Caenorhabditis elegans: one gene and its partner. The protein of the gene in region 1 purifies or fractionates together with the protein of each later gene. This does not show direct contact. Each region holds a gene or a part of one and is shown on either strand. Other genes may lie near its edges.

The links. The genes of interacting proteins can lie anywhere in the genome.
Region 2: the proteins of pdi-6 (region 1) and enpl-1 fractionate together in Caenorhabditis elegans (co-fractionation; one large-scale study listed by BioGRID). This does not show direct contact.

What each region holds. Positions count from the first base shown.
Region 1 is NC_003284.9:7,064,615-7,071,754, reverse strand, and holds pdi-6 (Protein disulfide-isomerase A6 homolog), read left to right. Parts: upstream 1-3,191; 5' UTR 3,192-3,314; coding exon 3,315-3,348; intron 3,349-3,454; coding exon 3,455-3,763; intron 3,764-3,845; exon of another isoform or gene 3,846-3,986; intron 3,987-4,185; coding exon 4,186-4,849; intron 4,850-4,900; coding exon 4,901-5,216; 3' UTR 5,217-5,413; downstream 5,414-7,140. Other genes in the region: B0403.6 (DUF5658 domain-containing protein), read left to right, coding at 1-23, 71-227. UniProt on the Caenorhabditis elegans protein: May function as a chaperone that inhibits aggregation of misfolded proteins. May negatively regulate the unfolded protein response (UPR) through binding to UPR sensors.
Region 2 is NC_003282.8:11,116,472-11,125,462, forward strand, and holds enpl-1 (Endoplasmin homolog), read left to right. Parts: upstream 1-2,826; 5' UTR 2,827-2,979; coding exon 2,980-3,025; intron 3,026-3,242; coding exon 3,243-3,312; intron 3,313-4,160; coding exon 4,161-5,178; intron 5,179-5,252; coding exon 5,253-5,828; intron 5,829-5,894; coding exon 5,895-6,467; 3' UTR 6,468-6,684; downstream 6,685-8,991. Other genes in the region: clc-9 (CLaudin-like in Caenorhabditis), read left to right, coding at 1-65; imp-2 (Intramembrane protease 2), read right to left, coding at 585-1,112, 1,393-2,202, 2,324-2,392; Meiotic recombination protein spo-11, read right to left, coding at 6,688-7,096, 7,143-7,233, 7,301-7,528, 7,576-7,672, 7,717-7,951, 8,002-8,171, 8,217-8,264. UniProt on the Caenorhabditis elegans protein: Molecular chaperone that functions in the processing and transport of secreted proteins.

The sequences.
Region 1 (7,140 bases):
TTAAATCCGAAACATGACGCAAAGTATGTCGTTAAATTGCTTTTCCTCGTAAAACTTTTCCAATTTTCAGAGAAAACGTTCGTCGCTGTTTCACATTTACGGCATACCGTATTTGCATGGTGATTGTCAACATTTGTCATATTCTTGCAATTTATATTGTCATCAAGAACATTATTGCGACAGGATCCGGCGGGAGACAAATTGACGTTAAAGAGCAAAGATTATAGATGTTTTGAAAGTAGATTTTAAAATATTCGTTTTGTAAACCGGTTCCAATTTTTGATTACAGGTTAATTAGTTCTGATTGTACTTGGGTGTGGTGACTTTTTAAACACATCTTTAATAAAATATTTTTTATATAAAAACTATTTTATTGCAACATCTGAACAACAATAAGTCATTCACATAATTTTTGCTGTTAGTGAACGTAGTAATATCGTGAAAATTATCAAAACTTCGATATTTGGTTTTAAAGTTTTTGAACATTCTTATTCTCAATTAAGTTTCTGAAATTAAGTTACCATTAAATTAAATTTGTTTGAAGTTTTTTCTTTTTTTTTCAAATTTTACTCGTCGGCAATTATGTAGTTTTTTTTTCAAAAACCATATATCCTGTTCGTAATTGTGACTATTTTGGTTATGAAAAAGAATGCTTAACAATAGGAGTATGTTTAGTAGTTTACTTTTTGAAAAACGATAGTTCTGCTCTAACCCGTATAAATATATATATATATATATTTATTTATTTATTTATTTATTTATTCAATCAAAAGAAGATAGCGCATGACATAGAGGTAACCAGTGAGAAGGATTGAGTAATAAAATGATCACATAAACCAGACATAGTTAGGGTTATCAAGTTGGGGGAAGAATTAACTCAAGGGGAATAGAATTAAGACGTGTCGAGAATGCTTGACGGCTGAGCGGTTTCAATAGATGTTGAGCCAGTCGGTTCCAGAGTGGCAGGTTCATTAGTAGAAAACTATTGTTGATTGGTACACAGGCACGCATCATGTATGGAAACCGTGGAGAGCGGGACTTCTCGTCGTTTGCCGCCAGCTTCCTACCCAAGGCTTCGCAACTTCTTACCCAAGTCTTGCCCAAAAAATAAAAACATTTATAAGGAGTTGCCAAGACTTGGGTAAACCTTGGGCAAGAGTTGGCGCCGCCTCAAAAATGAAAAAAGTCGTCGACTTGCCTCGTCGTCCCGAGCGTCGCCCAAGTCTTACCCAAGTCTTACCCAAGTTTTGCCTATTTCTTACCCAATTTATACCTGTGTGTTGAACTTTGATCTCATTTCCCGTTGTGCCGAAGTCTTACCTGCTGAGCCATGATGGTCGCGCAAAAAGATGCACACTAGTAATAATATATCGTACTCATATTCTGATAGATATTTTTGAGGAAGTACCAGACATATCTGATTGATACGGTATTCTCACATACCTTGTTTCAGTTGTTTTCAAGTGTGCTCCCTAATGATTCTAAGTTCAGAATTTAGAGAATTACTGTAATTCGTGTTTGTTTCATGTCTCTTAATTTTATAAAAGTTTACATTTCAAAGGAACAGTTCAGTCTTAGAAAAATTCAAAATTTGATGCATAGGATTGACTGACTATTATCTGACTATTGGACTGACTAGGAGAAGAATCTTCCTGAAGATAACTTTTCTTTTTATTTTTAGATAAATTATATGGTTTATTAGATAAAATGGCAATAAAAATCAGACTCTGTTCGTACATTTTCTTTAACAATGTTAGCCATCAAAGAAAAATATTTAGAATTTGCCTTTGAAGGGACAAGTTTTCCTGTGAATTCTTTCAATTACATTGAAATTCCTCTATTGTAAATACAAATTAATCAAAAGACAAAGTGTCGATTTACGCTAAACATTGCGCATGTGGAATTTCGGAATCTTGTTCGTTCTTTACATCTGCAAACTTGGGTAAGAAGTTGGCAAAACTTGGCTAAGGCTTGGGCAGAACTCGGGCGAGGGAGTTTACACTAGAATTGCTGAAGTTGGGTAAGACTTGGGCATACTCTGGGTTAGAAGTTGGCAAGAGTTGGGTAAGAAGCTGAAAAGGCCCAAACTTGGGGAAGAAGCTGTCGGGAATTGCCGAGGAATTCTTTAGTGCTGAGACATCCGGAAAATGGTATTCGCCAGATAAGATGTTGTGGTAGGTCCTTAATATTTGGAGAATTCGCTGGTGTTGAATGGATTTTTGATTTGACTGAGCCAGTCGATCATCGTACGACGTGTTTGAGACATTGCATCGTTGATACACTCTTCTTGAATAGAATTTCAGCGGCATTTCAAGTAGCTTTATCAGACGTTTGGAGTTAGGGTTGTAGACCTCACATCCGTAATTCAGCAGCGGTTGAACGTAAACGTTGTATAACTTAAAGTACAAACTGACATTGGTAAAGCGAAAGCATCGAAGAAGCTGTCTACACTTGAGGAAAGCAGAATTTGATACATATTCGATATGTTTTTGGAAGTTTAGCTTGCAATCCACGAAAATGTCTAGATCGTTGACTGAATACTTTTTAATTATTTGTATTCCATTCGCATGATAATCTGTTCTTGGGTTGCGCTTCCCGAGGTGTATGACATTGGTTTTGTTCTCGGCCAAGTTTAAGTTTCACTTTGCACACCAATCAGTGACGACATTGATCGCTTTTTGCATAGAGTCCGAATTTTCACCGAGTATCTTGATATCGTCGGCAAATGCGTATACAAAAACATCCGTGGGGAACAGTTCCAGTAGGTAATTAATGTAGACAAGGAATAAGAACGGTCCACTGACCGTATCGCAAGATTATTTTGTTGGAAATCTTCAATTAACACCTTTATTCCAAATAACTATTTTTGGCATTGAGAGTGTTACAAGTTTATTTCAAGATAAACAATTTATAAATGTTAGATGTAAAAATATTTTTGAAAACAAGAAAGAACAAACACTGAGGAATTTTATTTTGTCGTGTAATCATCGAAATGTTTTCAGTTATTTCGATAAATTAATAGATTCTGTTAAAAAAACATTTTTTTTATTAAATTTTTCTTTTTAAAACGTCTTCCCTAACCCTCATAGTTTTCTCATTGCATTTCGCAACTCTCCATTTAATGCCTGTGCCGGGGCCGTGGCGAGAACTATTTGCGCAAAGCGCTCTACTGTACGACACGTTGACCAATCAACTGCACACACACGACGCGCAACGTCACACTCCCGCCCTCTGTACACGCATTTGACTCAGTTTGGAATCGCTCCCCATTCTGTACGGTCTCACAGACAAACCAGTGAGATTAGTGGATCGTCATGGCTCTCATCAAGTTGCTCCTCGCATCTTTGGGTAAGTTTTTGTTTTAGAAAATGTGAAGTATTCTTCATTTGGTGTTTTTGATTAGGAAAAAAGAATTTTATACAAAACTAATATTAAATTAATTAAAATTTTGCAGCGATAACTTCGGTATGTGGAATGTACTCAAAAAAGGATGATGTCGTCGAGCTGACCGAGGCCAATTTCCAATCAAAGGTTATCAACTCTGATGATATTTGGATTGTTGAGTTCTATGCTCCATGGTGCGGTCACTGCAAGAGTCTGGTCCCAGAATACAAGAAAGCTGCTTCAGCACTCAAGGGAGTCGCCAAGGTTGGAGCCGTTGATATGACTCAACATCAATCCGTCGGAGGACCATACAATGTTCAAGGATTCCCAACTCTCAAGATCTTCGGAGCCGACAAGAAGAAGCCAACAGACTACAACGGTAAGCAATTATCCAATTTCTTCTTAATAATTTACAAGCGGAAATTTGGATTGGTTGTCGACAAACTTGCACAAAAATAACTGAAAAAGGACAATAGTCACAAGCCGGTACGGCAAACAAAAACTGATTTGTCTCATTTCCACCCTCTCCCCACTCGAACTATTTTCTGTGTGCACTGTCGGTCAGTCAATTGAGCTGGCCGCAACTAGTTGTGTGTTTAGTAACTGTTTGCTCAGATATTATGTTTGGCCGATCCGCTCTATAGATGTGGACGACCTTGCGGCAAAGTAATTGTGCGTACCAGTCTATAGGGTGGAAGATAGGAGAGACGCCGGCCTCTGAGCGATCTGGGTCATTTAGAGCGTGCGTGTGTCTGTGTATGTGTGTAAAAAGACCAAGATGATATTGATTTATTTTTGCAGGACAAAGAACTGCTCAGGCAATCGCTGACTCGGTTCTCGCTGAAGCCAAAAAGGCAGTCTCTGCTCGGCTTGGAGGAAAATCATCAGGAAGCAGCAGCAGTGGATCCGGATCTGGATCTGGAAAGCGTGGAGGAGGTGGATCTGGAAATGAAGTTGTTGAACTTACTGATGCCAACTTCGAGGATCTCGTTCTCAACAGCAAGGATATCTGGCTTGTCGAGTTCTTTGCCCCATGGTGCGGACACTGCAAAAGCCTTGAGCCACAATGGAAGGCCGCCGCTTCTGAACTCAAGGGCAAAGTTCGTCTCGGAGCTCTCGACGCCACTGTTCATACTGTCGTCGCCAACAAGTTCGCCATTCGTGGATTCCCAACCATCAAGTATTTCGCTCCAGGATCTGATGTTTCTGACGCTCAAGACTACGATGGAGGACGTCAATCTTCTGACATCGTTGCCTGGGCTTCAGCTCGTGCTCAAGAAAACATGCCAGCTCCAGAGGTCTTTGAAGGAATCAACCAACAAGTCGTAGAGGATGCATGCAAGGAGAAACAGCTTTGCATTTTTGCCTTCCTCCCACACATTCTTGACTGCCAATCGGAGTGCAGAAACAATTATTTGGCTATGCTCAAGGAGCAATCCGAGAAATTCAAGAAGAACCTTTGGGGGTATGTTTTATATAATTTTACAAAATTTCATTCTAATTTAAATAATTTCAGATGGATTTGGGTTGAAGGAGCCGCTCAGCCAGCTCTTGAGGAGTCCTTCGAAGTTGGAGGTTTTGGATATCCAGCCATGACTGCTTTGAACTTCCGCAAGAACAAGTACGCCGTGCTCAAGGGATCCTTCGGAAAAGATGGAATCCACGAGTTCCTCCGTGATCTCTCGTATGGAAAGGGACGCACTTCTTCCCTTCGAGGAGATGGATTCCCAAAGATTCAGAAGACTGAGAAGTGGGACGGAAAGGACGGAGCCCTTCCAGCTGAAGACGACATCGACTTGTCTGACATTGACCTCGATAAGACCGAGCTTTAAAATCATGAATTTTCTACATACATCGACACCAAAAACTTACTCTCACCATGCAATTTTGTTTTAATTGTAACGGGTGTTCTCACCAGATAACTCGTCTAACTGCGTTACATCCATACATGTTTTGTGACTTTAGCGATTTTTCTCGTATTTATTTATTTTTGTTCTCTGTTTTGTTAAATAAAGTATTTCAGGAAGCTATGGATTATTAAAAGTGAAAATCAAAAATCTTCGGTTGAAGGTTTTCAAATTCTTGATTTTCTTTTTCAATACGGAACTAAGGGTTGAGAAATATTTAATATCGATGTAAGATATATTTTTAATAACTTTCAGCTGCTAGAGCAACTTAATAATTCAAACGTTACCAATTCAATTACTCGGGCACAAAGGGATACAAAACCAAAGAAGCAGAAAACTTGTGCTGGTCAGATCAAATAAGTAAAATTTGGTGATTTTCACCACTATTAGTCAAGAAACAAAGTTATGAACTGATATGTTTAGATTGTTTTTTTTTCTGGTTTATGTTCACATTCAACCACACCATTTGTTCTGAGCTTTTTCAAGGTTACGTGCTCCTAGTTCATATTCATAATTCATATTCATTTTCATTTTCATATTCATATTCAAAAGAGTTGTTTGCGATTTTTTAAAATAAATTTCCGAAATGTTGATTGTTTCAGAATATTTTACAGATTCTTTTTCAAACAAGACGTTTTCAATAAATTCATGATTTACCAATTTTTTTAAACACACGACCAGTGTTTTGAATATTGGGATGCGCTTTTATTTTTAATATTTGATTTTTCAAGGAATTATATGTAGAAAAATACATTTTAAAGTTACAGAAACTTTAGAAAAATTTGTTTTGCTTCACACATTTTTATAACAATTGCTATATTCATTTTAAAAATAGTAGAAGACATTAATAGACTTATGAAAATGTTGATGAGTTTGTTTTTGTACTTTTAGATAATTATTAGAGGTCGCCTTAATGTGACAAATATTGAAATTTATCAAGCAATATCAAATTTCCAATTTAAAACAAGTTTGATTTAATCTGCAATGTTTGAGTTTGTTGTGCTGATTGAAAATAAAATTCCGAGCACAATAATTACTAGAAAAATAAGGTCACAATGGGAAAATAGAAACTCGTTAAAAACAGTTTTAAACTGTTTTCTTAAGCAAAGCTCTTCTATAGTTCTAAATTCAGAAAGCATTTGGATTTCTGGTCACCGAGTAACTGCATATTTGTTTTTTGTTTGTGGCACTTTCTGGAATTTTAATAATTCAGCTGAAAGTATAGACAGACGGATGTTTTCAAGATGTTCTTAGTTCCTTTTTCATTCCATTCGAATTCATGTACAACGAAACATCTCTCTTATCTCGAAACACTAACCTCATACTCTTGTTTGTGTAAATGGTTCTAAGCATCTAAAATGCACTAAAAACTGAAAAAGGGTACCTTAGCTGAACCATCTCATTTGACGACAAGTACATTTTTGTCATATTTCGTTTTCACACATATTTTCTTATCAATTTTTGAAAACCTGCTGATAGTCGCCAACCACTCAAAACAGTGTCGATGGTCGTGAACAATTCTCCGAAAATCGTTAAATGTGGAATTTATCGGTCAATGCCGACAAAGTTCTTTTGATGAAAATGTGGGCGGAGCGTCGGTACAACAGAGTTGAAGCTCTTTGTCGTTTTTTGGAGCTGAATTCGTTGAAATAATAATAATTAGGTCATGTTATCTTATGAAAATAATTCTGATAACGATGGCAGCTGTTTTAGTTTCAAGAGTGATGTGCTGTTGTGCTGTTGTGAAATTCAGCATGCTTTACAATTTCACAGTACTTACTTATTTTTTCGAGCTTCATAACACTTTCCTACTCTTGTTAACCGCTCATTGATATTTGTATTCTTATCC
Region 2 (8,991 bases), on another chromosome or scaffold:
CTGCATTCGTTCTCGTTCACAAAAATAAAAAACGACAGTCCAAAGTAACAAGTACATCACTCTAAAACTTTCACATTTCGACCAATTTCTTTTCACTTTTCAAAAATATTGCTCTTTCGCGGGTGTCATCCCCAAAACTCTTTCACCTTATTATGTTGATATGTTAGCTAATAATGTAACAGGATATTTTGATTTTCTGAATGACATTTGATAGCTACTTCGTTATTGTGGTCTGTATATATTTAAAAAAAGATGAACGTATAAATAAATTCAATGCATTTATAGAATAAGTTACTAAATACATGTAAATAAATATGAAAACAAAATACCTTTTTTGGTTCAAACAGGACAGTAAGGGGGTTGGAAAAGCTAAAAAGACCCGGGAAAACGGAAGATAACAATGGAAAGGACAGGAATCAGAATGATTATGCTAGGATGTGGTGGGACATGGAATCGAGTTGAATTAAATGACTAGAATATCTAGAAATAGTCAAAAGTACGATAAGTTAGGTTTTCCAATTCAAGTATTCTTCGAAAACAGAATAACAAGCAGGAATAGCATACTTTAGACTATTTTAAATCATTTAGTTATTTTTCTTGCCGGAGTCTACTTTCTTTCGATTTTCTTCGTTATCCACATGTCTTGATTCATCGTAGTTCCATAAAGCCGAAAGTTCTCCACGGATCACAGCAAGAAGGAGGGGTACGAAAAGACAACACGGCACCAAATAGAGAAGAGCTGGTTGAGCAGCCTTGAAGTGATGCATAACAGCCATAGTGATGAAAAGTCCAGCCATGTAAGCGACGACAGTAACCACGAAGTAGTATCGTCCTTTCAAGGATCCTTGTGGAGCCTTCGACTCGGCAGTCGTTTGAACAACTCTGTAGTCGAACCGACGAAGGAGAGCAATGAAGATTCCAGGGATAACAATGTCTCCAAGCCCAAGCATACTGTGCTTACTGGCTTCCATTATTCCATTTCGATAGATATCTTGAGGGAATTGGAGCAAAATCGGAGCATCAATTCCTTTTGCGACAGATGTCATCACGTCTGTTCCGAAAACCCAGAAGATGTCATAGAAAAAGAGACCAACGAGAAGAAGGGATCCAGCCTGTAAAAAAAATTAATAATGATATTAATTAGTCTTTTCAATGAAATTTTTTTAAAACCTATTTTTGCAAATAACGGTTTGATATTTAAAAGTTTCTTTTAAACAGCTTTAGGCCAAAATTGAGAACTATTTACTTTGTCCAAATATTTCAAGTTAGTTCAAAAATATATTATTACTATCTGGTCAATTGAAATTATTCTTCCATTCAGTAAGCGTAATTGTAGCTTTTTTGTCTTATTACAAAAATATTGCTATATTTTTTAATAATTGTTAAATTTACCTTGAAACTGGCCAAATGAAGACGTTCGATTCCCAAGATTGAGAAGCTCACTCCGATAATATTATTGGTGATCCAGTGTCTTTTCAGCAGGTGAGAAATGAGAATTGGAGAGCACATCAATAAAGCGATGATATCGTAACGATCAAAGTCAATTTTGAAAAGATATTCCGTTTCCTTTTTCTTCGCATCTTCGATATCACCCTCTTCCATTTCCTTATTTCCCTTTTTGAGAGAGAATAAGTACGGAGCATTGAATCTTAAGAAGGATGGAACCAGTGGCATCTTTTTGAGAAACGCGGTAACAAATGGCTTCAACAGAGACGCGAAAGCGTTGACTCCTTCGAAACAGATGAGGAAAGTCAAGAGTTGCATACATTCTGCTTTTTGAATTGTTGGTAAGTTGGTATAAGCGTATGTAGCCGCATTTTGAATTGCTTCTGGAACGCGTTCTTGAGGTATCCTTGACGCCAAGCGGAGCAAGAATGGCTCGGAAGGCCCAGTAGTCGTAGTATTAGCGGTATAGCTGATAATAGTGCTATTGATCTTCTGGACATATTCTTCGGGAACTCGCAGAATTTGGAAGACTCTGGCAACCCAAAGGAAGCGTTCGGCGGCAGGCTTGAAGAAGAGGTAGAGACCGAAGAGAACCAGAGAAGCAGAAATAGGGAATTTCCTGGCTTCTCTCATAGTGATCGAACCTTCAATAAGTCGCTTCTTGTCAATATTCGTCCTTATGTATTGAGCTGAACGAATCGATCCAATGATGATGCAGAGGATAGACATTCCGTAAAGCGCCAACGAGCTTGTAGCCTGAATGAAAAATTGATTTAAAAAAGTTCGCATGGCTATTTATCACATTTAATAAAAACTTCGTTGTAATTTTATACTTGTCCACTTCATTTATTTTACAAAATTTCAGTAAAAATCTCACCTGTTCTTCGAATGTAAAAACTGTGACATTGCTAGCCGTCGGCGGGATTTCGGTCGCTGCTTCAGCCATGTCGCGAAAGGTTTGAATTCCCAACTGGAAAAACTGAGATTAAGAAATGGAGGTATATTGCCTGATTGAGATGAGAAACCGGTTTATGAGACGGATAAACAAGTAAGTTTGCTGAGTAACGATCACAAATTTCACAAATTCTCAAGACAAGTGAGATGATTAATTTCTATAAGGATTAATTTAGATGATCCGAACATTACTTGAGTGACTGTTATAATAGAAAGACTGAAAAATCGTCTTTTAAATTAACATATTCCATATTGCTGGATCCGGCAAACAAAAACAATGTTCCAGGACACTCACTCCACGTGTTCTGAGCTGTCGTCTCGGTCGTTGATTGGCTGATTCCGCCTCTGTTTGCAACTAGTAACGCGCCGCAGTTTGCAGTTTTCAGTGAAGGACAACGTGTTTGCAAGAGACGCAGACACTGTGCGGCACTTGCAAATTGGGGCGGGACTTTTAGGGACACGTCGAGAAGGGGTGAGCCCCGGCGAAAGAAAGCAAACAAGCGGAGAGAAAAGGGGAGTAATTGACCGTTGGAAAGACACCTCATTCCATTTATTCTCGGTCGTTAGGAAGAGACGGCGATGAGATTCCTTTTGGTGGGCTTCGTCGCCCTTCTGGCTGTTTCAGGTATGTCTTTTTATTGATTTTCAGAGCTTAGTGAGCTTTAAATAGAAAACCGTAGTTTTGAAATTGTAAAAAAAATTTTTAAGCTTAAATGTACGCTGAAAATATTAAAACTGTGTTCACAGAATAAAAACATTAGGCTTTATTTTTTCATTCTGTGCATACACGCCACGCAGTTTTTGAATTCACGTTTTTATTCCCAACAATCATCACTTTTCAGCCTTCATTCCAAATGTCTACGCCGAAGATGAAATCGAAGACGCACCAAAGGAAACCAAAGAAGAAACAAGGTAATTTTTGATAATTTGATTATTATGAAAAATTGCAATTTGAAAAAGTCTAGAGAATTTTGAATTGTGTTTCGTACATTTTTTGAACAATTTCGTGAATATGTCGAAATCAGAATCAATAACCTTGTTAATTTTTAATTAGATCTAATATATCAGAAATATCTTTCGAATTCGTTTTTCGCTCTTAATATTGAATAGTTACAGTTTTAGCTGGATTAAGTGTTCCAAAAAGATAAATCACATTTTCTTCCACTTTCCAAATAAATTGACCTGTCACTACGTGTCTGTTCCTTTTCCTGGTTACTCTGAACTATCTCAATATTTGTCTACCCCCGGCCTCAGCCAAAACTTTTGAACGGTACCAGGTCGCGTCAGTCCACTTGGTGACTCTCATCCGTTTTGCACACTATTTTGTACTCCCGCGGAGCACTATTTGATTGAGTCTTGCCCTTTGTCGGAATGCAAACAGACTCGATCTACTGCTAGGTTATCTTATCTTGTTTGTGTTTCCTTTTTCTCAAATAAGAAAAATCGGCTGAAGGGTCAAGAGAGACTAAAAGGGTTATCTCCGACCTAGATAATTTAACGTATGCTTTCCTAGATTCACGTAATAGCCTGTCAAGGACGGAGATACGAATCACAAGATTTAATCTTCTGCTAATGGAAGGTGTAGTATTAGGGATGCCATACACGGATTAGAAGTGAACGCATTATTTTCTAGGGTTTCTGATAAAATTTTGGAAAATTAAAGATCAAAACTGTACAATTAAAACACAATACAGTTTAAAACAATTTAAAAATATAACTAGTTAACAAAAAAAATTGAAATTGATAAATAATATTTTCAGAGAGGAAGATTCGATCAAGCTCGATGGACTATCTGTCTCCCAGATCAAGGAGCTCCGCTCAAAAGCCGAGAAACACGAATTCCAAGCCGAAGTAAACCGAATGATGAAACTTATTATCAACTCTCTCTACAGAAATAAGGAGATTTTCCTCCGTGAGCTTATTTCTAATGCTTCCGATGCTCTCGACAAAATTCGTCTTCTTTCCCTCACCGATCCAGAGCAACTCCGTGAGACTGAAGAGATGTCTGTTAAAATCAAGGCTGATCGTGAAAACCGCCTTCTTCACATTACCGACACAGGAGTTGGTATGACTCGTCAAGATTTGATCAACAATTTGGGAACTATTGCACGCTCTGGAACTTCAGAATTCTTATCCAAACTTATGGACACTGCCACTTCTTCTGACCAGCAACAAGATCTTATTGGACAATTCGGAGTCGGATTCTACGCTGCCTTCCTTGTTGCCGACCGTGTTGTCGTAACCACCAAGAACAACGATGATGATCAGTACATTTGGGAATCTGATTCAGCTAGCTTCACCATCAGCAAAGACCCACGTGGAAACACATTGAAGCGCGGAACTCAGATTACATTGTACCTCAAGGAGGAGGCAGCAGATTTCTTGGAGCCAGATACCCTCAAGAACTTGGTGCACAAGTATTCCCAATTCATCAACTTTGACATTTTCCTCTGGCAATCCAAAACTGAAATGGTGGAAGAAGCAGTTGAAGAGGAACCAGCCACCACTGAAGACGGAGCTGTTGAAGAAGAGAAGGAAGAAAAGAAAACCAAGAAGGTTGAGAAGACCACCTGGGATTGGGAGAAGGTCAACAACGTTAAACCTATTTGGATGCGCAAACCAAATCAGGTCGAAGAAGACGAATACAAGCAATTCTACAAGAGTATCACCAAGGATTCGGAAGAGCCACTGAGTCACGTGCATTTCAGTGCTGAAGGAGAAGTTTCCTTCAGATCTATCCTCTACGTTCCAAAGAAGTCTCCAAATGACATGTTCCAGGTAAGAATATTGAAAGTTATATAGCATTTGTTTTAATTGCGTTTAGTTATTTTCAACTAATAATGTTATTTCAGAACTACGGAAAAGTTATCGAAAACATCAAATTGTACGTTCGTCGTGTCTTCATCACTGACGATTTTGCCGATATGCTTCCAAAGTATCTTTCCTTCATTCGCGGTATCGTTGATTCAGATGATCTCCCACTCAATGTCTCCCGTGAAAACCTCCAACAGCACAAACTTCTCAAGGTTATCAAGAAGAAACTTGTCCGTAAAGTGCTCGACATGCTCAAGAAACTCGACGGAGCCCAATTCGATGACTTCTGGAGCGAGTTCTCTACCAATATCAAGTTGGGAGTTATGGAGGATCCATCCAACCGTATGCGTCTTGCTAAACTTCTCCGCTTCCAGTCTTCTAATGATGCTGACAAAACAACTACTCTTGCCGCCTATGTCGAAAGAATGAAAGAAAAGCAAGACGCCATTTACTACATGGCTGGAACTTCCAGAAAGGAAGTTGAAACTTCTCCATTCGTAGAGAGACTCATCGCTAAGGGATACGAAGTTTTGTTCCTCACCGAAGCTGTTGATGAGTACTGTATTCAAGCTATGCCAGAATATGAATCAAAGAAGTTCCAAAATGTGGCTAAGGTGAGTATTGAAGGCTTTTTTCTTTAGTGGCTATGATGTTTTACCTATCAACATGCTATTTTTCAGGAAGGAGTTACCATCGATGATGGAGAGAAGGCCAAGGAAGCCCACAAGGGTCTTGAAGAGGAGTTCAAGCCACTTACTGACTGGCTCAAGGAAACTGCACTCAAGGATCTGATCGAGAAAGCAGTTGTTTCTCAACGTCTTGTCAAATCACCATCTGCCCTTGTTGCCTCTTCCTACGGATGGTCTGGAAACATGGAGCGCATTATGAAGTCGCAAGCTTATGCTAAGGCAAAGGATCCAACTCAAGACTTCTATGCTACTCAGAAAAAGACATTCGAGATTAACCCACGCCATCCAGTTATCAAGGAGCTTCTCAAGAGAGTCACTGCTTCTGAAGAAGATACCACCGCTGCTTCTACTGCCAAGCTTCTCTTCGAAACTGCCACTCTTCGTTCTGGATTCTCACTTCAAGATCAAGTTGGTTTTGCTGATAGAATCGAAGCTGTCCTTCGCCAATCGCTCGATGTTTCCCAAGATGCTCAAGTTGAAACCGAACAGCATATTGAAGAGGCTGAACCAGAGCCAGAAGCCGCTGAAGAAACAACGATTGAGGAGGAGCACTCTGAGCTCTAAACAATGTAAAACATCTCCCCATTCCATTAGCTTTATGCACTCGATGATATTGTGATAAGATAAGATAACTTGTGTTGTTTTCTATTTATTTAATGTTGTTTCTCCCCCCACTTCTCAGTCTCAGTACTTCTCGAACACTTTACGGTTCCTTTCCCCTTTTGTGGTTGTAATTGCAATATATTGCATTTGAAACTAAAATAAAATCTGTTTCATATTATTTTCAATCACTATCATTATCTATCATATTCTGGAACTTTTCTTCAGCATCCGAATCTATATAGTCATCGTCTTTTGCTTCCCGATCATCATCTGTCGACAGCGAACATTGTGAATCTTCGTGGTACTCGTTTATAATCGTCTCTGGTTGAATCGGAATTTCTTTTTCTATCGACATGACTCTCGGAGCAATCAAGAATCGAGCCATATACTCCTGTCCGCACATATTTATTGATTCAAGTTCCATTTTAAATTTATTCTGAATCATCCAGTCTAATTCTCGTGTCACCACTATTTCTCCGAGTTGAATCGATCGAGGAATCATCTTCTCAATTTTCACAAAATCAGTTCGAACCAATGGAAGACATTGTGATTGATCGATGGTGAAACGATGAAAATCAGTTGGGAAAAGACTGGAAATTTGTTGAAATTATGAAAATAAATATAAAATCGTCTTACCCGATCCATTCAATCGTTGGAACAAAGGCTCCTCGGCCTTCGGCAAATTCTTTCGTAGGTCCATATTTGTAAGTCAAGTAGATTTCAATACCTTAATTGAATTTAAGTATTACTATTTTTAATATAGTTATTTTTTAAATCCTTTATTAAAAATTCACCATGCGGATCAGCGTCAAACAGTCCGTATATTGGAAATTTTCTTTTTTCACTCAACATTTTCAGAACATTTCGAGTTGCAATATCCGGATATCCTTTCGAAGTTGCTAGAATCCCACGTGGAAACATTGCTTGAAAATTTTCATCCATTAATTTTTGAAAAGTTGTGTCTTTCTCAACAACAAGTATGAAATCGGCTTCTGATATTATATTCGAAAATAACAGTGCATCTGAAACACCAGCGTTGATCATTTTTAAATGTTTTTTATTACCTTACCTGTGATCAAAACTTCTTGAACTCTCGCATCAATTACACCAACATTCTCAACTAAAAAAGTAATTGCTCCACGAATTATCCCGCGTCCACAAGAGAGCTGAAATTTGGAAATTATTTCTTGTTTATTAATGTCACACTGACAATGTTTAAATTAGCCCGACTTTCATTCAAAAGCTCACAAATTGATTTTATTGAACTGTCTAAATATTTCTGGTTTCCATAAACTGCTTTATGTTCATAATACAATTCTCTTTTCGTTGATCTTTTGTCATTTTCGAGCAAATCATAAACTTGGTGAAGACAGTGCAAATCTCTATCCAATTTTCCTTTCCTCTTTGCTGTATAACGAAGGCAAAAATGTGATTTACTAGTCGATCTGAAAAAAAAAACAAAATTACTCAAACATTTTCAACAGGAACTTATTACATTCTCAAAGTCAACGATTTCTCTTTGTTATCCATTTGCCTTTTAATATCTGCAAGAGCGAATTCAATTTTTCTCATAGCTTGTTCCTTCGGTGGTATTACTTCATCGTCAAGAAAACTGTCATCAGAATCATCAGAATCCGAATAAATAGTGGATTGTTGAGATTCTACCTGAAAATTGCAAAATTAGATTTGAATCAGCAATATTAAGCTTACAGATCCGGGCTCATGATCGATATTTGGGTTGAAAGAATATTCATACATGCTTTAAACTAATTAGTAGAACAAAAATACAGATAAAATGGAATAAAACTTTGATAAAACTTGGACGCAAGCTAATAAGGCTCCAGCTGCAAGATACAAAAAGTCAATAATCGAAAGGACCATACGTGAAAATAAAGCACGGGTCCCGCAGCGAATCGGAGTAGTACTGTAATTTTCGTCAGATTTTTAATACTCGGCGCCGACGAGTCTCAATGTTCGATCTTCTTTTCTATATTCTTAAATTGACATTTTTCTTCAAAAAATATTTTAAAATGCATTTCTTAAATATAACTCGGTTTTTCTCAATCCCTGCCGAAAAACCACAGCTTAAATGCAATTTTGAAGCGAATGACTGCACCATTCATTTCGTCGCAGTCGAAGAAGATTTTTATAGAATATAAAATTTATGTATAGTATTCATTTTTTTCTTAAACTAGCATTAAATGTTGTTGCGCTGAAATATTTTTGCTATATTAAATTTCCTTCAAATACTTTATTCAAATAGTCATAATGAAGCTCTGATATGGTCTATATCTACCGTAGTCTTCTTGTATTTTCCACTATTCCTTCTTTTCTTGTCTCTTTTCCCATTCATTTGTCCTCTCCGCCGCAATGGCCCGTTTCCAATGCAGGCAGACATGCAGAGTGTCTGCGTCTCTCCATTTCCAATAGTGTTTCTCCTCACTTTGCCTCTCTGGCCAATCGACGCTCGGCGCGTCCACTGCAT